Drosophila melanogaster: one gene and its partner. The protein of the gene in region 2 interacts with the protein of the main gene of each other region in a biochemical or structural test. Each region holds a gene or a part of one and is shown on either strand. Other genes may lie near its edges. The genes, in order: CG30020 and CG1024.

The links.
Region 1: the proteins of CG1024 (region 2) and CG30020 form a complex in vitro, tested with the Drosophila melanogaster proteins (one study listed by BioGRID).

The regions. Positions count from the first base shown.
Region 1 is NT_033778.4:10,881,186-10,893,521, reverse strand, and holds CG30020 (uncharacterized protein), read right to left. Parts: upstream 6,713-12,336; 5' UTR 6,546-6,712; coding exon 6,156-6,545; intron 6,087-6,155; coding exon 5,987-6,086; intron 5,925-5,986; coding exon 5,508-5,924; intron 5,447-5,507; coding exon 5,297-5,446; intron 5,240-5,296; coding exon 5,126-5,239; intron 5,052-5,125; coding exon 4,701-5,051; intron 3,912-4,700; coding exon 3,180-3,911; intron 3,110-3,179; coding exon 2,930-3,109; intron 2,870-2,929; coding exon 2,774-2,869; intron 2,660-2,773; coding exon 2,624-2,659; intron 2,536-2,623; coding exon 2,263-2,535; intron 2,115-2,262; coding exon 1,205-2,114; intron 1,145-1,204; coding exon 964-1,144; 3' UTR 331-963; downstream 1-330. Other genes in the region: cag, read left to right, coding at 1-287; CG18004 (uncharacterized protein), read right to left, coding at 7,215-7,311, 7,370-7,932, 7,990-8,223; Hao (hydroxyacid oxidase), read right to left, coding at 8,722-9,418, 9,487-9,890; Pex6 (peroxin 6), read right to left, coding at 10,407-11,810, 11,863-12,336.
Region 2 is NT_033777.3:6,374,956-6,384,958, reverse strand, and holds CG1024 (uncharacterized protein), read left to right. Parts: upstream 1-4,751; 5' UTR 4,752-4,794; coding exon 4,795-4,941; intron 4,942-5,004; coding exon 5,005-6,489; 3' UTR 6,490-6,553; exon of another isoform or gene 6,554-6,563; intron 6,564-6,725; exon of another isoform or gene 6,726-6,779; 3' UTR 6,780-6,805; coding exon of another isoform or gene 6,806-6,993; 3' UTR 6,994-7,054; coding exon of another isoform or gene 7,055-7,139; 3' UTR 7,140-7,610; downstream 7,611-10,003. Other genes in the region: TfIIFalpha (transcription factor IIFalpha), read right to left, coding at 2,430-2,631, 2,690-3,277, 3,354-4,273, 4,340-4,363; CG42537 (uncharacterized protein), read right to left, coding at 6,806-6,993, 7,055-7,139; CG42564 (uncharacterized protein), read right to left, coding at 7,691-8,576, 9,545-9,939.

The DNA of each region.
Region 1 (12,336 bases), on a different chromosome or scaffold from region 2:
GGCGAAAGCGACACAACGTCCGATACAATGACACCGGTGACAGCCTGGATCTGCAGGAGTTCGAGGCGATTCTGGTGAAAAGCGAACCCATCTCGAATAAGGACGATTGTGATGAGCCATACCCCGTGACTCTGATAGAGCCTATCTATTCCACCGAGGAGGCCATGATGCAGCTGGCCCGGCTGAAGGAGTTCGCAAAGGATGACTATGCTTCCTACCAGCAGTTGATCAGTCTGGAAAATCAATGGAGCTGGAAATGGAACATCTTTAAGAAGGAGCTTCCCTGACCCAAGCATGCAATTTAGGTGCAATATAAATACATATTTATCTCGAATCTAGTAGTAAAAGTTATTTAATGTACGTTTCTTTTATAAGTAACATCGTTGAAGATAACTTATCCCTTCTACGCGTTGAATTTAAACCTAAAACTATTGGGTTATTCTATTCATGACGATGCTCGTAAATATACGAAATACATGACCGTTTGCAAAAAAAAAAATAATTATACATATATATAATGGAGAATTTTAAACATTAGATGTGAAGCGTTTCTCTTTGGCCAATACAGAGCCAGCTGGTGGAGATTGCCTCAATCATGCTTGGGAATCGAATGGATTAACTACTGACACCTTGAGACCCGTTGCGGATTGTTATGTTTAAGGCGATACCTTAAGTTGCCATTTGGGCATTGCTACTTTTGGATCCTCATAATACATTGAAAATTTCACCGAAGTCTATTTGTCAATAAGTGATCGGTCGTCTGTATTTCAACTAATTTTGTATAAGAGATTGTGTTTAATGTCCTAGTCTAGAACTTAACAAGAAAACTTCAAGACATTTGATGTGCTAAAATGATGGAGAGGAACAGTACTTAGACTATATCAAACTTTGTACATTGTGCGATTACTTTGCTTGATTCGTAAAAGCATAAGTTCACAACTACTTGGAATTATCGTCAGCTCCTTAGGGCTGCCCATTTTCTTCGCTTGCACCGCTCACATCCTTACGGCCATCCAGGAGTCCCACGGGCGTCGCGACTTTAAGATCGTTAGGTCTGGCTTGGTTCGTAGCCAGGGATGAGAGGTTTCCCAACTCTTCGGTGGTGAAGCGCAAGTCATGGATTATGAGTGCATGGGTTACGAGTCTGCATAAGAGAAATTATTGTAGAAGGCTTACAAACGATTTGAAAAGGGGAATCTCTCACCTGCCACGTCGCAAATAGGAGCGATCGCACTTGGGACACTTGTAGGTTATCTCACCTTTGTGCACGCTCATATGATTTTTCAGATGCACATTGGACTTTTCCTCCTTATTGCAAACGGGACATATATACCGCGTGCTCAGATGAGAGGCCTTCTGATGGCGTATCAAATGGTGTTTGAAGGCAAAAGTCTTCCGGCAGCCATCCATAAAGCACCGAAGCGTCTTATCCTTGCTGTGCTTGGCCTTCGTGTGCCGCTCGAGCTCTGCGATAGTTACAAAGGACTTGGGGCACAGCTTGCACTGTGATTTTCTATTACTGTGTCGCTTCATGTGGAACTTGAGCAACGTAAGCGTGCGGTAGGATGTATTGCAGATGGCACACTTGTGCTGATAGCCCCATCGCGAACGTTCCGTATTGGAGTGCAGCTCCATTTCATGCTTGACCAACTTGCCCAGCTCGTCAAATGTTTGGTTACAGAGTTTGCAAATGTGAATGGAAGAACGATGCAGACGGCTGTTGGAGCGTAAACCCTTCGCTGGCGATGTTTCCAGGGCAGTGGTGGACAGCAGTTTATAGCTTTCATTAATTGGGCAGCTGGATGATGCATTGTCGCTGAGGGCTTTGGATACGTCATGGATATTGGGCGACGATTGCTGGGCTTCGTCTCTCATTATGTCATAATCAAAATCAAATGGTGTGGGCGTGGGAAAGAGAGTGGTGGACGATGAAGCTGTGGTTGCTACGGGTGATTCTAACGAAGTAGCTGTCGCTGCTGCTGCCGCTGATATTGCTGCTGCTATTGCTGTTGTAGTCACCGCTGTGGCTGCGTCCAATGTTACCGGATCTAGTTCTTCCTCTGGCACCGCCGGTTCTGCTTTAACTCCTGTTCCATCATCTGTGCCGCCTTCTTCTGGTGAGTACAACAACAATCGACGATCATTGTTCGTCGCCGAACAACAGCGTTTTTAGATTATCATTTGTATTATGCGTTGGCGTGTTTTGGGCATAGTTGAAATGGGAATTTGATTTGATTAGTGCAAGGCTATTGAGGCTCTTACCATTGCCATCGCCATTGCCTAAAGCTTCCGTCATCTTTTCAGCCCCAACATCCGTCTGCATCATCTCATTGTGTTGGCCATCCACTGTGACCGAGTTTACGGGCTCAGAAATCGTTGATGAGGATGTGGCCATCGTAGTCGTGATGGCTTCCCCGCAATGCGGCGTTTGCATCTCTATAATTGTATCCACCAAATGACTGCGCTGCAGGTGGCGACTAAGAGTGGTCTTGGCCGCAAACGATCGAATGCAGCGCGGACATTCAAATGGTAATTCTGTTGTTGGACGAAAGATGAGTTCATATGTCATAGCCACAACGATGAAAATCGTTTCAAACCTTATCAAAATAACAAAACTACTTACTGCGTATGATAAACACTTCGTTTGCATGCTCGGACACTGGAATGAAAATATGATTTATCTTATTAGAATTATTTCATAAAAACAATGGTAGAATTAAAAATTATATCTTTAATCTATCAATGCTTAATAATTGATCATTGATTTACTCACCTCCGTCATTGATTCCATGGTGGGCATTCAGATGCTTGCGCATCTCCGAATCCGATTCGCATTCAAACGGACACTTTGCGCACATGAGCATTGGATCTGAAGGTAGATAGAAACTGAAGATGGTGTGATCTGTATACTGTATTTTATGTAGCTTACTCTTTATCCTGCCAGGATACAGTTTTTCGATGTTGGTGCGGGCTACGGAAACCTTATCGCCCTTCGCCTGGACCATGTCCCTCGTGGGCATTCGCTTGTGCACAGTTTTATAGTGCTTGATCAGCAATCGCTTCATGTTGTAGAGGTTAGTGCACAGTTCGCAGCGATAGGGAGCCAGACCTGAAGTCCAACCAGATATATGCATGATTATTTAGTAACTAGAGCTGTGTGACCGACCCAGCTTACTTACCCCGATGAACAAACATGTGGTTCTCGAATTTATACTGACTGGTAAACTTCTTATTGCAGTAAATGCAGTAGGGCTTCTGCAGATGCTTCGATTGCTCGTCATCAAAGTCGTCCACATCATCATCGTCGCTGGTCAGCAACAGATTTTGATCAGTGGCAGCATCATTGTTGTCATTCTCGTCTTCATTGTCGGCCTCGTCTTCTTCGTCGGCCACAGTATCATCCTCCTCCTCCTCGAAGTCCTCGAACAAATTCTCGGCATCAAAGTCCAGACTGATATTGTTATTATCAATCACAATGTCATCACCATCCACAACGGGCATGCCATCCGCGGGAATTGTGCATATGGCAGCCACATCGGTGTTGTCAATAAAGTCCTGCATGTCGCCAAACACCGAAACGCTAGATGAATTGGCTGGTGCCTGCTGTACGGCTTCGTTCACGGGCAGGTTGCCCTCTGAGATTTCGGGAAAGATTCCAAATGCATGGTTGCTGGCCGTACCGGTGGTTTCCTCCACCGTTGTCACCGGTGCCGGGTTCGTCACTAACAGGGAGTTGGAGGTTGCCGCATAGAAGAGCGGCGTCGCATCCACCACTACGTTGATGTCGCCCGATTCGGTGATGGTCGTCGATGTGGTGGCCATCGGCTCCGTTTGCTGCATTGGATCAGGCATTGGTTGATGTACCACCGGTTGCGGCAATGGCGCTTGCGTTTCCAAAACACCAGGCGGATCTGGAAGACATTGCATTACAAACATGCCAACATGAAACATATAAAACGGAAAGCCAGGGAATTCAAATGAGTATACAAATTTAAACTGTTGGACTTAAATAAAATTTGGTTAGAGTGCAGGCTGGAGAAACTCAAAGATAAACACGGTAATTATAAACAATTAATTATCAAAAACGAGTTAAAGTGCTCCTTTGAAGTCCTTACCGAAAGTCCACAATCCCTCCACTTGTATTCGATTTGCTTTTATTTACATGGAATAAAGGCCTCAACGTTTTTGTAGTTTCATCAGCGCGATAGCTAAAGAGAGTTTCCCCAATCCTACCCGATAGTTAATGCCAAAAAACTAATTGCCATTATGATCATTATGAGCATCAATTTACTAGAAAGAGGACATAGCCTGGATATACACGGTGTTATGCTAAATTTGTATGTACAACTAATTTTACAATTTAAAATTTCATTGCTGTGATCTACATATTTTCGAGTGTAAACGTTTAATTTAACTGTTGTGTAGAATTTCGGTTCATGGTTTGTCACAAAATTACCGCAAAAAATATGATAAAAAAAAACGTATTGCACGAAGTAAGTTGAGAGCTCAACAAAAAGTATGGTAAAATACCTAATGAATAATAAGAAAATAATAAATAAATAAATATCAACATTAACTCATTCAACCAACGAAAAGATTAATACGAATTTTTGTTTGCGAATCATTTCATAACTGTCCAAAAAACCGGCGAAAGTCGATACCAGTTTAAATGCCCTGGTTAAAACGATCTCATGACTCACATTTAATGCCCAACGGGATGTCGGTGTGATTTAATATCTTGGCCGGAGTCTGCTGCTTGGCGGCAACGCCTCTCGTTGTCGTTGGCTCGCCCGTCCAACTGGGACGCAGCTGCACCTCCGTGGGCTGGACCGTGTGCCGTTCCTTGTAGTGTGTTCGCAACTGGCTAACGGTGGACGTCTCGAACAGGCACATATCGCACGAGTAGACACGAGACTCTATACCTTGCGCCTGTTCCTTGCCGGTCTTGCCATTTTCATCAACCCGATGGTGGACCATCTTGTAATGCTGTATTAGATCGGCGCTGCGCAACGAGTAAAAGTCGCATTGGTCGCAGAAGAATTTGGGAAGATCTGTTGTAAAAGAGATTCGATTAGTCAGAATGAACGATAGCGGGCTGGATTTAATGAAGGTGGGGTAAACTAACTGCTGTGAGTCAACTGATGAGATTTTAGACGCGCTACAGTGGAGAATGTTTTCGGACAGAATTTGCACTTGTGCTTGTGAATGGATGTTCCGATAACGGCCGGTTTTGGCTTGACTGTAAGCGTACAAAAAATAGTAGAATCGTATTGTAAGTCACTGGGACGGATCTTACTTCTTATCTGTGGCATCATTTCCTCCACGATCAATTCGTTGACATCGATATCCATCGGATCATTATGGCTGGACAGGAGATTTTGTAGGCTTACATTGACGTTGCTGGAACTATTCGGTTTGCTATCGTCTATATACTCGATGACCACGCCTGAAAAAGATCAGTATGAGTTGTATTTTGCAATCATGCACCCATGGATAGTTCAACTCACCGCTTCCGTTAACCTGCTGCAGCGAACCGTCGGGAAGGACAAGGTACTCGGTGCCGATGCTAACATTGGGCGTATCCATCGGCGGCAGGGTGGAGGTGAGGCTGTCCACTGACGGTACGGGTTCATCCATGCTGACGGCCAGCTGGTGATCAATGTCTCGCAGTTGGTCGTTATCAATATGCGGATGCGGCTGTACGTAATCTTCCGGCCTAAGTACGGTGGGTATCAGCAACTCCATATCCTCAAGCGTGCACACTGCCTTAACCTCTTCTTCTTTAGGAGCTGGAAGATGCTTTGATTTTACGTACTCCTCTGCCTGGCTAAGGGGCATGTTGTGCATGGTCACATAGTGCTCGAACAAAGTTCGTTGCTTCAACGACGTGAAGCTGCACAACTTGCAGTTGTATGAAAGACCCTCTGGAAAAGTATTTACACTTTTAGTTCAATAAATTACGCTTGTGGCGAAAGTCAAACTGTACCTGCATGCTGGCGTATGTGCTGCTTGAGCTCCAGGCGATTGTAGAGCACTACTCCGCAGACCTGACACTCGTGCCGCATGGTCTTTAGGGGCTGTACCGGCTGAAAAGGGAGAACCAATAGTGATAGTGAAACAATAGCTGTGAAAGCCACTATTTAGGGCAAACATACCTCTGCACACGCTGGCTTTTCCTGCTCCTGAGCCAAAGTGCCATTCAGTCTCTTTGAAACCTTGGGACATAGTTTCCGGCACAGGATCTCGTGGGCACGCAGCGCATTCTGAAGGAAGTAGTAGGCCACCTGCAGGCTCTTGCTGCACTCGAGGCATATGTGTTGCGGCAGCTCCGGCGCATTATCGGCGCTCACGCAGAACAGCAGGCAACGAAGGAGCGGTATCTTCTCAGTGGCGTCCGCCGGGTCCAGACTGCGCGCCACCGACACCGAGTCCAGTTTGACGTACTCCACGTTCGTCTTCAAGCAGCAGCGACATGACAACTTGTAGTCCACTTCGGCGCCCGAAATTGGGTCCGAGTAAGGGCTCTTCCTTTTGTTCAGCGCCATCGTTCACGAGCTGCTCATCGGGTGGCACCCGTATCGGCTGCGGTCCGTTCGAAGCGTTTAGCTGGTAAAGCGCCAGAATTTATCACGTCTTAGAGAATTTAATTTGATTGTTTTTCTCCACTCGCGTCGCGTCGAAATAAATTACAAAGGCAGGGTTGTTCTGCATTGGTGTTTTGCTCGGCAGGGCTGGCTAACAATTACCGATGACCAGGACTGCGCATTCACTCGATATACAGCGTCTATCGGTAAGCAGGCACTTTCGCGCCAACGAATTTTCAGATTAACGCAGGGATACGAACAAAAATTTTAATTTTTGCAATCATTTGTAGGAATTTTAGTTAACTTTAATTTATTTCAACTACTCGCTTCTTAAGCTTTTAAAGTTTGCCAACTGATCAGGGAAATTAAAGCTATAAATTAAAGTTATATATGTTTATTGTTTTTTTTTTATCGGGAGTAAAAAGGCTTAAAATGTTTACAATGATTTTATTTCCATTTAATTTCCTTGTAAGCCCTTTTCGATTATTTAAAGAATAAACATGTTAGTAAATTTCAATCTTGTAGAGGAGCCCCAAGAAAGTTATTTAAAAACAAACTAAATAATATATCAATCCAGCTGGATCTAGTTAATTTATTTTCGTATTTTCATATTTAGCTCAGTAAAGAATATTAACTTGTGTACTCCATGGGCACGCACTCCTCGGCGGCCACCTCGTGCGAGTGAGAGTCGTCCTCCATCAGATGCTGCAGGCTTTCATTGGGATAACTAAGAGAACACGATTATTAGATTGGTGCTGCAACGTGGGAATTGCACAACTTATTACCACTTAGAGGGGCTTTCATCGCTGAGCATCGTTGTGGGCACGGTGGCCGAAGTGCATTCCGGACTCAATAGCTCCAACGGCGTCGGTCGTCGCTCCTGCAGCTGGCGGGCAATCTCCGCTTGGCTGAGGCCGGGCGACACATCCTTCGGAGCAGTCTGTAGTTGCGGTGGCTGCTGCGAAGGTGACACCGTGGCGGTAAGTTGTTTTTTCGCAGCAATTGCTGGGATTCCATGGTTCGCGGGCAACATTCCGGTTAGGATTTTTCGTCTTCGACCTCGTGGGGCGCCCACTGTGGGCATGTGCGGAGGCACACCTGGAATTCCTGGTGCCCCCTTGTCTTTGTGCTTGCGCCGAATGGCGTCCTTGGATGTTTGCGATCCGCCGGCAACGCCGGACGTAGAAGCTGGCTCCGAATCGGAGCTGTCGGTGGCATCCGAGTCGCTAGAGTCCTTGGCCGGCTTCTCGTACACCAGCAGACGGTCCAGCAGGAAGGTACGATCCCGGGAAACTTTCAGCAGACGCCGCTGGTTGGTGTGCAATAGATCCTGGAAGTACTCGTTCTCCTGTAAACACAAAAAGCTGTGACTTGCCATTGGCCAAGTTCAACTTTAGATATTTACATAGATGAGGAACTTCAGCTTCTTCTTGAGGTTCTTGTAGCGCTCCTTGAAGTCAGTCTCGCCTGCGCCCAGGCCCGCGGATACGGAGGATGAGCTAGCGGGCGCTGCTCCGCGGGAAATTGGCGGGACGCGATCTCTGGCGGGCTGTGCGGGCTCGTCGTCGCTCGGCGGCTCGTCCTTTATGGCGCCATCCTCCTGGTTGGCCAGGGATCTGCAGTACCAACCGTCTAGCATTGTATTTTAATGGTATTCGCGTTTTGTTAATTTTTTCTTTTATGTACATGCCTCATAGAGATGGGAGCATTGCGATAACTGCCAGTTTTTCGCACATCATCAACCCAAGCATTGTTATCGGACGACTATTTACCGTTCTAGGTTATCATTAATTTAAAAATTGAGTTTCACCATTTAAGAAATTTATATAAATTTAAAACAATGATCTCTTGTGAAAGAAAACCTTTGATTTGAAAAGAGCATAACAATAATCTGTAAGCTAATATGCACAACAGTTGTGTCTTAAAAATAGGAATATTTCCAAAAAGTCTGACATGTAAATATAATCTTCCTATTATATTGTTTGTCTGAAGAATGATGATAGGTTTTAATTGCTGGAATCTGTTTATTTATCTATCTATCTATCTATTTATTATATATTTATTTATTGACATGTTTATTGGATTTATGAAAGCAAGTTTGATAAGTTTTATGTATCTACACTAAAACGTTCCTGATTTACAGCTTGGCATATTGACTCTCATGTACCACCATTGCCGACGTGATGTCTCCCAAATTTTGGCAACCGATCAGCGCCATGGTGGTCTCAAAGTCCTTTCTCAGCACACTCAGCATCTCCTCCACGCCTTTCTGTCCATTGTAGGCCAATCCCCAGACAGCCGGACGACCCACAAAGACCGTCTTGGCTCCCAAAGCCAAAGCCTTGAAGATATCATTGCCCTGCATAATGCCTCCGTCCAGCATAACCACCAGATTATCTCCCACGGCCTTTACGATCTCCGGCAGGGCTTCGATCGAGGCCGGAACCGTATCGATCTGACGAGCACCGTGGTTGGAAACAATGAGTCCGGCGCATCCAAACTCCTGGGCCAACACAGCATCTTCGGCAGTCAGCACTCCCTTGACCACAATGGGCAGATGAGTGATGCCCTTCAACCAGGCAATATCCTTCCAGGTTATGGTTGGATCAAACTGGCTGGAGACGTACTCATTAATGCCTGAGGCGCCCATAGCGGCATTACCCACTCCAGTAGCCTTAACGCCCTGGAAATTGGCCAATGACAGGTGCGACGGCAAGCTGAAGTTGTTGCGCACATCGGCTCTACGGTGTCCAAAGATTGGAGCATCGATGGTCAGGACGAGCGCTTTGAAGTTCGCCTTCTCGGCACGACGTACCAGCTTTTCCGTTATGGTACTGTATTTAGGAAGTTATGTGTTTAATAAAGAAGTATTTGCTTACATACATAAAGATAATCAACTCACCGATCCTTGTAGATGTACAGTTGGAACCATTTGATGGTATCCGGGGCACCGGCTGCCAAATCCTCCAGCGAAGTGGTGGACAGTGTGCTGAGTATAAAGATGGAGCCGGCTTTTCCGGCCGCCCTGGCATTGCCTACCTCGCCGTCCGGATGGGCCATCTTCTGCATAGCCGTCGGAGCAATGCCCAGAGGCCACTGCATCTGCTCGCCGAAGATCTTGGTACTAATGTCCAGGCGGGAGACATCTCTCAAACAACGAGGTCGCAAGCGTAGCCGGCGGAAGGCCTCGCGATTCAGTCCCAAGGTGAACTGCTCACCGGCTCCGCTACGGTAGTAGTCCAGGGCATTCTTCTCCAGTTGCCCAACGGCCTTCTTTTCAAAGTCCTCTACGCAAACCAAAGCCATGGCTGTTATATAACAGGAGAATGGAAATATACAATGTTTGACAACACCTCTTGACGCACCTCCCAGACTCGCACTGAACCCACTAAGATTAGGTGCCAGCATCAACGCTTTTGTCCGGCGAAATCCATAAACCGGGGAATCGCGATAAGCACACACTGTAGATAAGGGATGCCTCACCAGCCCGAGATTATGAAGTACAGATCAGCGCAGGGATCATTTAAATCAAAAGACGTAATTTTCCTACTCGACATGGGGGGAAGCTATTGTCCGAAATGATAAGAAGCCACTTCGCAAAGGTTAATTGGAATCACCTACCTCCTGCTGTCTTCCACAGTAATTCGAGTCGCACTTCCACACGCTGGTTCCTATTTCATACGAGAGCTCCACCCACCTTAAGTGGTTCAAACGAGTGGAAGCTCGCTGGGAATTGTGAACTATCAACGGGTTTATTGAAAAACAACGAAAAATGTCTGTAAAAAACTAACTCTTAGAACTAGTTAACCATCTGCGCATACTCTAGACACTATATGAAGCCTTTAGGTTGTTGAAATACTCCAGATCCTTGGCGCTGATCGAGGGCACAAACTTGTTGAAAGACTTCGTGAAATCTTCCTCCTGCACAATTACGTTCTCCGGCACCAGTTCCTTCTCTGATATTGTTCCACTCAAGTGTCCGTCTATGGTGCGCCTCACAGCGGAGAGCCATGCATTCGAGCAGATGGAGTACAGATCTGCGCCGCTCATTTCGCTCTTCAAACGCTCGGCAATCTGTTCCATGTCCACACCGGCGTCCAAAGCGAATCGCTGGGTTTGGGCACGCAAAACGGCTGCCTTGTCTTCGGCAGTTGAACAAGGTCCCACGTAGAAAAGCTTGTCAAAGCGACCAGGACGCAAAAGAGCGGGGTCAATAAGATCCGGGCGATTGGTGGCGGCCAGAATGAATATGGGCTTGCTAGTGTCGCCATCGCTCATTCCATCCATTTCTGCCAATAGCTGCGACACCACCCTATCCATTACACCGCCAGAGTCCCCAGCCACACCTCGATTGGGAGCCAGGGAATCCAGTTCGTCCAAGAAGAGTACACAAGGAGCCGCAGAACGAGCCCTGGAGAAGACCTCGCGAACATTCTGCTCGCTCTGGCCGACATACATGTTTAGTAGCTCTGGACCTTGAACGGAAAGAAAACTCAGGTTGCACTCAGTGGCGACAGCCTTGGCCACCAGGGTTTTGCCTGTTCCTGGGGGACCGTAGAGCAGGATTCCCGATCTTCTTAGATTCTTGCCCATGAGGTGAACATGCTTAAGCGGCAGACCAATGCTGCTCTGGATCTCATCTTTTAGCTTGGCTAGACCACCAATGTCCGACCAATAAACCTTCGGCACCTTGGGCGCACCCAAACTGTCCGCGAAAGAGCTCTGCATGTCAGTGAGGTTCTTGGCGAAGTGAGACATATCCAGGGTGGTCCTACCCAACCTATTGCGAATCTTCATGCGAACCGCGTTGTCGTACAGCAACTGAAGGTCGCCGAGCAGAAAGCCCTGTGACTTTGCAGCCACATCCTGAAGGACATTGAGGGTTTCCCTCCAGCTGGGAGAAATGCGTGGCATGAATTGCGACTGATTTTCCCGCGAGAACAAGGGTAATTGCTCAATAGCCTTCTGATTGTAGATAATATCGTTGAAAGTCTCGCGCACGTGCATCCAGCGAAGAATCTCGAATCGCTCCTCCTTGCTGGGCATGTCAATGTTTATGATCTCCAAGAAAAGTCCTTGGATCATGGGTTTAAGGTGTCTGTCACTGGTCAAAGCCACCACTACAATCGGATGCTTGCGGTCCCTGTTGAAGAGTTCCTGGACCTGCACGTGGAAGGCGGAAAGCAGACGCAGATCCTCGTTACCCTCGTTGTCTATGCCAAAAATCTGAAAATATGAATTGTAATAACCTCTGCACATTTACTCAAAGCCCACGTACCTCGAAGTTATGGAAGCAAATCATAAGCGGTTCACAAACTTGGCTCTTGGCAAATACGGCTTTTAGCTTCATCTCCGTGTGGGAGGGAACTTGCGAAACGATCTCTGCGCAATCTGCTCCGTAAATATGCATCCCCAACTCTTGGGCTACGGCGCTCACAAGCTTTGATTTGCCCGATCCTCGCTCGCCTTGCAGGAGGAACACAGGAAATATGTGCTTTGACGACAGGCAGGCGGACTTTTTTGGCAGGAAAGCATCTACTGAGGAGCGCAACAGCTTATAGGGCTTTCGAAGTCCACTTGGATAGTTCTCAACGATGGCCATGCTGTCAAGCACTTGACGAGGCAGGAAACTGTGAGATGCAGGCACTTGAACAAGGTTGCTAAAGTTTTTGGCAACAATCGCTTGCAGCTCGAACTCGCTGCCCTTTGTCTCCAGGTGAATACACTTTAGGTGGACGTGGCGTAGGTGAGC
Region 2 (10,003 bases):
TTTAACATATTATGAATGATTATTTATTTGGGTGCTATAACTATTTATATAAATAATAATAATAATTTTTGCAACTCGAGTATTATCCTGCGTGTAGTCAACCTAGGCGTAAACCTCTCCGCCTACGAGGCCATGGCAACAAAGAGCTCAGCTGATAAGATAAACGGCCAACTGGGGGTATTGTTGATTTGCTTACTCTGAAAAAATTTGCGTTTCTTCAGTCACGCTGCACTTACAGCTGGTTTGTTTGTTGACACAGTCAGGCAGACGACGGTTCGTTCGGGTTTTCGCGAATGCATTAATGGTTACTTCAAACAGAACAGAAAAATCAACGCGTTTCGCTCCTTGGCTGCTATTGTACTCAATTTGCCATCAATTAATTTTATCGCGATCAAATAATAGTGGCCGAGATCTTGGGCGGCAGCTGCTGTAGTCGGAACAAATAGGTTGATGAGTCACGAACACCGCTCCATGCTAAAACCAGAACCCAGACCGCATGCACATTTAACTATTTAGCGTCGACGCACCGTCGGTCCACAGTTGGGGCAGAAAAAGTGGAAAGTTTCTATTCGTACATATATTACAAATTCTGCTAATACACAGCCGAGGGGAGGTGTGCAAATATGTCACAAAATGTTTATTAAAGTTACGATTTGACAAAGAAAACGTCACTGGCATTAGCACATCGGTAGACAATCGGAGCAAAGGCTCCAATGAGAACGTGACTTTGTTTTTATTGGATGGTTAAACAATAAATGGGAGGCCGACATTCGTTGTTCCAATGAGAAATTCAATCTGGGGAGGCGCGTGCGTTTAATAGAATTACGCCCTACGGATTGCCCAACAGTCTTTGCATTCAGGTATGAGTTGGTGATCCTACCATGTAACATTCTATTTCCATTTCATGGCATGTTATAAAGAAACGACTACGGTGTAGAAGGAGTTTGTTTTTAAGATGATTTCAACTAGAATGCTATTCCTTTGACAAACAAGTAGTTCAACAAATTATTAAAATGTTGGTTACTATCGCATATGTTTCTACACAATTTTTTAGCAACTTGGCGATCTTTTGCCAATTAATAGTATGGTCATTTCGCAATTTTCAAAACTTGTATATAATTTTCCTTGCAAAAGCGCTTGCAAAAAAGCTAGAGTAGCTATCTGGATATGTAGAGATACATATGTATTGACTGGATTGTTTTAAACAATCCTGACATACGGATTGAATGTTTAGCGACGAGGAATGCAATTCGCGTTAATTCGCTTTGTTTGGAAGGCCGATATCAATTTACACATTACACAGCGTACGCAGCACCCACCCACCAACACACAAACACGCGCACACACACACACCTTGAACTTTACAAGGCACGAGTGTGGTTTCAAGGTTTTCCTTTTTGGGGGAGGGCATACGCTCACGCAAACACGCATACATACATACATAGGCACTAGGCAGGTGTTTCCTGAATGGTGTACAACGGTGGGTTACAGGTGAAAAGCGGCCTCGATTGGAGGCAGCAGCCCACAAGTTATTGCACTTAAATTTCGTATATTCGCTTTTGTTGTTTTTTTTAGGCGCCTCTGTGTGCGTGCCTGCTACTGTGCTTGTGTGCGTTCAATTAGCACAACAACAAAGCAGCTGAGCGATTTCCTTTTGCTTTCCCGACGCCCATTCGCGTAAATCCACTGGTCACTCACTTGATTAGGGCTTCTCGTGCTCTTAGTTGACCGTTTGGAGCGACTTCTGGCCAGTTCCTGTATCCAATCCTATTTTTTCAGCACTCGCTCGCCTCCTCACTCGTCGCCATCGCACTGGTATTGCGTTGTACTTTGTTTTGCTCCCTTTTGGGGCTCGGACTCCTCGGGTTCCTTTAGTTGGTGGTCGTGGTTCAGCGGGGACAGCGCAGTGGCTGCGAAAAGAGCATGACAGTCGCGATAAGAACGCTTTGGGTTTGGTTCACTTTTCTAATTATCGGATATTAGAATTTACATCCCACCCGAACACAGACACATATACAGGGCTAGAGCTGGAACTAAATCGATGTATAGCTGCTGCTGGCTTCCTGACGGCGATGTTTTCGTACATCGATTACTCCCATATTTCGATAGCTATCGACTAAAATTTTAAAAATATTAAAATCCAGTATTCTCAGCAACTGTTTCAGATCATTGTACAGAATTTAGAATTCTCAACTTCAGAACCTGAAACCATATAGAAATATAATACTAAGATATAGCATTAATAACTAGTTTTTAAGATTCTAGAAGTACAAATACAATGAATTGGTTAAAATCAGTTTCTGTGCAAAATACTACTTGCCTTTTCGAATTAACCAAGAAAATTAACCGATTTTCAGTGGTGCGTTTATATTTTGTGTTGAACAATAATGCATTTGAGTTATGAAACATTAAAATCACATGACTGCGGGCTACTTGATCCAGAGATACATTTTCCCCTGGATGGTGTGCTTGACGGGATTGATCTTCTTCAGGATTTTCGTCATGGTCTCGACCAAACGGTCGCTGGAGACAGGCGTCTTCTTGTTCTTGAACTTGGTGAGCAACTCGGTGGCGGTCAGGGGCTTTCGCTTAAGATACCGACGCACCGCCTCCTCGGTGATGCCGTAGTCCCTAAACAAAATACATGAAATTAGAATTAGGAATTCCAGTATATCACGGCTTTACTCACTCTACTTTGCCGCCAGAGAAGGAAGTGGGCAGCGATGTGCTAATCTCGTTCTTAGGCCTCTTTGCTGGCGTGCTGGTGGGACTGTTGCTTGTGTCCGAAGCGGTGAGATCGCTGGGTAAGCTGTTCATCTTGCGCTTGCTGGCATCCGTCGAGAGCGTTGGAGTGGCCGAGCGAGATTTATTGGCATTGCTGCTGCTGGCGATGACCTTGCTGCTCGCAGCGCTCTCTTTCTCCTTTTCCTTTTCCTTGTCTTTGTCCTTGACGACGACCTTCTTCTTGGGCGGTCCGTTGCTAAGGTCGTCCTCGGAGTCTGTGCTGTCAGAGCTGAAGTCTGTGGACGAGTCACCGCTGCCATTCGACTTGCCCTTCTTGTCGTCCTTTGTGGGTTTCTTCTTCTTTTTGTCCTTGGATACCTCGTCCTTGCCCTTATCCTTCTTTTTTTTCTCGCCGTCGGCATCCTCCTTGTCCGACTCATCAGACTTCTTCTCATCATCCTCCTCTTCATCGGAGGTAAGCAGCTTGCGGAGCGCATCTTCCTCGGCCACGCCTTTCATGTCCTTGTCCACCTTTGCCTCTGGATCTGGTTCGCTAGAATAGGGTATAAGAAATTAGTAGATGTGGTCCAAATTGTATTGCCATTATCAGAATCGTTTGGGGCACATACTCTTCACTGGAGCTGGTGTCGTAGTCCATTTCTCTGCCCTCCTCGTCACCATCGTCCGACTCCTCGAAGGCCTCGTCATCAACATCCCTCTTTTTCTTTTTCTTGTCTGCGCCCTTCTTGCCCTTTCCCTTGGCCTTGCCATCGTCGCTGTCTTCCTGCTCCTTCTTCTTTTTATCCTCCTCGTCCTCCGAATCCGACTCATCCTCGGAATCAATCCATTCATCCATGTCAGTGATCTTGAGCTCCTTGGATTTTTTGGTGGCTGCCTTAATTAGCTTAGCCTCCTCCGGATCCTGCTCCTCTTCCTCATCGCCGCGCAGACGCTTTCGCAACATAAGGGAGAAGTAGTTCATCACCTTTTTGCGCCGACCAAATTCCTGTTCGGCCTCCTCCGCCGACAGCGATTTGTAGCGCTGAATAGGCTGGAAGTTGTACCACTCGGTCAAGGGGTATGCCTCAATGGCGCCGTCTGGTGCATGGGTGAACACATAGAAAGCTGCATTCTCGCCTACGCCGCCCTCGCGGATGCCTTTGAACTTCTTTCCAGTCTTGCCACCCACTTTAAGGATCCATGGCTGTGCCTCTGGACGGTACTTTCTCGCTATAATGCCAAACTTCTTGCGGCGCGCCTCCTCGCGCTGATCCCGGTTGTACTCCGATCCAGCACCAAACTTGGGCTGATCCTCCTCCATGCCCCGGAACTCCTTCATGTTGTTTTCCCGCTCCAGTTTCACATTTCTCCACTGCGCGAAATCCACATTGAGCGTGGCGTTGAACCGCATCACATGGTGCTTCTTGGGCATCTTGGGCACGCGGATCTTGAACTCCTGCACGTTGGCGGATGACGAGGCGGATCCTGAGGCGACAGAGGCTGCGGCGGCGGCAGCTGCGGACGTGGAGCTCCCGCTGGCAGCGCTCGGCTGCATGAAATCAAGCGAAGACCGCAAATAAGTGTTGGCGCCGGAAGCGGCAGGGTAAAGACTTACCGTCGACTTTGACGCGCTCGACATGGCTTAATGTTTGCTAATCATATGTTGCTTCTATCTGGATATTTTATACTTTTCCCCAAACTCTTACAATTCGCGGCGCGGGCAGAAAAGTTGGATTTTCTAGCGATGTCCGATAACAGAAGTGCAGTTATTCTTTGGAAGCAAGTGTATCGTATCGTTTGGGCAGAAAAATAATATTTATTCCAAGAGATTTTGATAAACAAATTGGAAAAGTAGATATTATAAGATTGCATATTCAAGCCCTACAAGGTATTTAAAAACTTCAAAGTTTTGTAATGTTCTATCAAAATAAAGTGACAGCCGATATCCGTTCACAGTCACGGTTATCGATTACCTCTTTTTAGATAAACGATTGTCGCCATAGCAAATAACGATAAATTCACAAAGCGCTGTCTAGTTTGTTTGGATTTCATTTGCAGTTTGTCGCTTAAATGTTAGGGAAAATGTCGCGGAACGTGACGCTCTCGGATGAACAAAGTCGGCTTAATGCGCGTCTGGAGGCGCACATGGTTTACATATGTCCGGAATGCGGCAAGGCGTTCCGCACTCAGGCGGAGTGGCGACAGCATCTGAACACGGCAAGTTGCGGGTTTTGTGCAAATCAAGTTCTGCTTTAATAATGGTTTGAAATGTGCCCACAGAAACACGACTATCTAAAGAAGACGTACTCAGATTTCAACTTCATCCAGATCGACGAGCGATTCCATGAGTGCCAGCTGTGCTTCAAATGGGTGGAGAATGCCCACAAGACAATCGCCCTCCTGCAGTACCACTACTTTATGCATCTGGAGCACAGTGAAACCTACCGCTGCGTGCACTGCCGCATGGCGTACACGAGGCGCCGGGCTCTGAACGTCCACCTACTGGACACGCACATGCGGGAGATCGAGAAGTACGAGAACAAGCTGCGCCAGATGAAGCGGCAGCAGGCGAAACCCACTACAGCGGCCGCACCAGCTGGAAATGCAGAGAAGCCGATGGCTGTGAAGCCGCGTGGGCGTCCCAAAGGTTCCACGAACAGAAAGCAAAATGATCTGCTGCAAAAGGCGCTGATGGACATTGATCTGAACACAGAAATGGAAAAGTCCCCAGTGACAGCACTAGCGGCTCCTGTAAACGAACCTAAGCCCATTTCAAATGTCAGCGAGCTGAATCTAGATCGGTGTTTGAATGCCTACGAGGACATCGTGCGCAAGGAGGAGAAAGAGGTGGTGCCGAAGTATGACGACGAGTTGGATGCGCTCTGCAAGGAGTTTTTTGATGATGGCCCCTCCGCCGGCAAAGGAGAAGCTAATGAGGAGCAGCAGCAAGACGATGCGCACCTGCAGCAAGGAAATCAGGAGGTGGTCATCATCGAGATCGATGCACTCGGCAAGGAGGAAGTGGCCCAGCTGAAGAAGGAAATGAAGTCGGACCCAATAAGTCAACCGACTAAGCGTCGACGCATCTCTACGACGCCCAGCCGCGACTCAGACACGGAAATGTCCACCAACGGCCTCACGAAGCTCATATCGTACTTGTGTCCGAAGTGCGGCAAGGAAATCGCCTCGATGGACGGTTGGCGGGCACACGTATTCAAGAAGCACGACTTCGAGCACATAATCGAGAACAGTTTTAAGATCCTGGAGTCCGGGCGCAAGGCCATGTGCCTGCAGTGCCGTGAGGTGCAACCAACGACCGTGCGCTCACAACTGCAGAAGCACTGCTTCAAGCATCTGCCCTACCGGTCGTACCTCAAGTGCACACTCTGCGATCGCACCAAGACCAGCACCTCAAAGATCCTCAATCACATTCGCTACAACCACCAGGAGGAGCTGCAGCGTAAAAACAAGACGCAGCTGCTTATTAAGCCGGAGCCCATGTGGGCCAGTCCCAACAAGTCCGGTCAAGCGGCCATGGCGGATGACGCCGGATCCGAGGACGATCAGGGCGAGCAAGCTGTGTGCGAGCACTGTGACAGAGTCTTTAGGAGCAAATGGCGCTACGAACGACACATTGCCTCTTGCAGGAGATCTGGAGCTGGCAAGTCAGTCGAAGGGACCGTTGAAGCCTTGTTGAACCATCTGCGAGAAGGGCACATGCGAATGAACGCCATCTGGAAGACGATGCAACGTGAAAAGCCTTAGGTATAGTCTAGTTAAAGTTAAGTCGGTCCATCGTTTTGCAAATATCATCAAGTGTAAAATATACGTAAGTTTTCAAATCCTTGTGCAAATATTGTGCTAGGAAAAGATCATAATTAACACATACGACTTACATGCCTATGAAACATGTATCAATCTGCATTTAAGTTGTTATATGTTAACTATATAGCGTATACAACTAAATAATATATAGATATTTTAAATCCATTTCTCATAAATATGTTTTTCAAGAAGTACATTTATATTTTTTTTTTTTTTGCTGTGAATTATAGGACAGGATCGATAAAGGCATTTAAATTCATGGGCACGACCTTTGACAGTGTCTCAAGGAGCAGTAGCGATTCTGGTTGCCGCCACATCCGAGGTACTTCATCTTGAGGCACTTCCTGGTTCTCTGGTTATAGTACCACATTTCGTCCATGGCAGTTCTCCGGCAATGCCTTCCCCCAAATCCTTCGTTCTTGCCGCCTTCGCAACTCAGACGACCTGTGTGAAAGTGTAGATCAGCTATAAAAGTACACTTACTAAATGCTGTTATTAAACATACCCCTAGGACGACCATCGCAGCGATTCTGGCCACATGCGAGAGATACGTAGAGCACAACGCAAGCTAGAACCAAAAGTAACTTCATTTTCAACGGATTGCTCTTTGGAGGGTCGACTTGATATGACTGATCTGTAAAACGATGGACTTATATAGGGGCGGCTGCCAACATTTTTCCCAGTTCCCTAGAACGAGTAAAAAACATCTTGACAATCGACTCTATTGTTAAATGTTTTGAGGCTATCAGATAATAGTATAAAAAAGGGGCTTAAATTAAACTTTTTAAAGGCATAAGATGTGGGATGAACCATTCAAAAACGTTGCTGGAATGAAAATGTATTTTCCACTTTTAACTTAAAAAAAAAAGCTGCAAGATCGATCTTTCGCTCAATCCTATTGATTTCGTATCAGGGCAAAAACACTTGTGCTGAATGTAAATATGATTTAACCAGAATTATATTTACCCAATTAATTAACATTCTTTTCGTTAGTCACTTTGTATTACTAATACGAGGAATACTTTTCTGACTAATTCATTTTATAAATCAGATTAAGGATTAAATTTAACATGACGATTATTTATTATGTTTAATTTAAAACATTTCACTTTAAAGCAATTGTTATTCAGTTAGGTAAGCTTCAAGGCATAGCTATCCATTGCGGAGCCCAAAAGCCACTTGGCTTACGACTGCGCATGTGGCTACCTATCGAGCGTCTCATTATTGCTCTGCGTCTGGAGAAAGCCCTTTCCATGGTTCTAATAGTTGCGTCGCCTTCTGCGCCTTCCTGTTGCACGCGGTCATCATCCACCTCGTGATTGCTGGATATGACCACGATCTTCCGGCGACCATGGAACATCTCAGCCCGCTTTATCAGCGCCAGGAAGCGGGCGAACTTCTTCTCCAGCGCAGCCCTGTCCAGAGGCTTTGGCATGGGTTCCAGTAGCCCTTCGGCATGAGCTTCTTCCCCTCCTGGCGATTCGGAAGCGGGTGTCCCTCCAGCTGTTGGTGCAGGAGTGGAGCCTTCTCCCTCCACCGGGGTGACTCCTGGAGTGGCTCCTGGCGCTGCTCCGTCGACTGCTGGAGTGGCTGCAGCTTCTCCAGGTGCAGCTGCTCCTCCTTCGGCGGCAGGCGCTGCTGCTGCTCCATCGGCTGCTGGTGCTGGTGCCCCACCTTCAGCTGGCGGCGTTCCATCAGCGTTTTCGCCGTTGAGCATGACGAAGTCCCGTTTTCCAAGAGTTCTAGTTTTAATTTCGGGACTGGACGCGTTTCCTGCTTTCGGCGTAACCTTCTCGTAGACCTCGGACTCGGCGCAGAGATGTGCATATTTCGGGTTCGCTCCGGTCTTGCAGGACTCCGCCGCCTTTTTCCCGGGCTCGTAGACGGGCGAGCCCACAACCGGGGCGTGGCCATAGTTGCACGCGAAAAACGTCTGAATCCAGCCATGCCGGGACTGCTGAACGATGGCACAGCCCACGGATTCAGCGTTCTCCAGCACGATCTGTAAAAAGTTGTACTTCGGCGACCTGATAGATGGGAACACAAGTTGAAGTTGATTAATTCCGTTTTTTCATATAGTAATAAATCATGAAACCCACATTTATTTTATGTATTGAATGTTCTTAGATGTAGCCTGGAAATTTACAAGCGAATCTTTATATAAAATATTTAATTTTCGGACCAACAAATAATTAAAACTTTCTAAAGATAAGTTCATGGGGTTGAGTTCTTCTATTAAAGCTTATAAAAAACAATCGTTATGGATATGGATTATGGAATAAGCTAAGATAAATAAACTAAGGTAAGTCCCCTCTTAATTAATTGCAATCAATATCATCTGCAAGAGTCATCCGGCAGAATGCAATCCCTCGCCAGAGAAGAGAGCCCAATGGAATCCACATGCAATCGTTTTATTCTTGAGAAGATCGCGAAGCGTACGGCCGCATATAACATAAGAAGAATTTCATAACGGAGTGTTGTTAAAAGAAACTATATCATATCAAATATTAATATCAATAAAAAAAATGTGAGTGAAATCAACATCAAGACTAAATTACTATAATTTTCCAGCGGGTGGTCATGAAAATAAATGGATTCCTCTCCTTTAAAAGTTCATGTAAAATTGTCAAAAGGCATTTGTCGCACACTCGCGTCCATTATTTTGCAAGCCCTAATATTATTTTAGAAACAAAAAAAAATATTTATATTATCAACATTTATGTTGTCAAAATATAATCAATTGGTGTTTATAGTAATTTTGAAAAATTTAATTTTTAATTTAAGAAGAAAAGTGACAGAATTATAACATTCAGATACTTTGTCTCCTAATAACAACAGGTACAATTTTTCGGTCTTTTTATAAATTTAGATAAGATTTAGAAAGGATTACAAAATATTAAAAAATAAATAATAATCATTTCAGGTTGAAATATTTACCAAATCCCGTAAGGACGCCCGAGTAAACAACCCTATATATTCCTTAAGTGGTACTCACTGAGATTCCTGCTCGACATACTTCATGATGTTCACCATCGAAGTTCTGGATTTTTCCCGCAACCACACCCCTATGATATCCCTAAGGATATCCTCCAACTCTGGCAATTTTCCTTTAATGCCTCGATACCCAACCGTCTGGCCAGCGTTTTGCGTGAACTTCGTGTTCCGGCACTCGTCGTGCCTCAGGACACAATCCCTCACATTGAATTCAGCTAGGTAGGCCAGTTCCGGGTTCCACTTCAAGGTGCCCATCCGACTGGCAGGACTCAGTCCGTTGAACCCTCCTTTGGCCACGCTATCCCTCAACTCATTAAATCGCCTTAATAGGAATCTTTCCACCTTTGGGCTTATCACTATGAGCTCAGCGTCCAGAGAGCACTTGTCGTGCAGTTCCTGAAGATATTATTGGTAACAAGTTAGGATAGTAACGCATTTTGGAAACAAAAATAACCCAGAA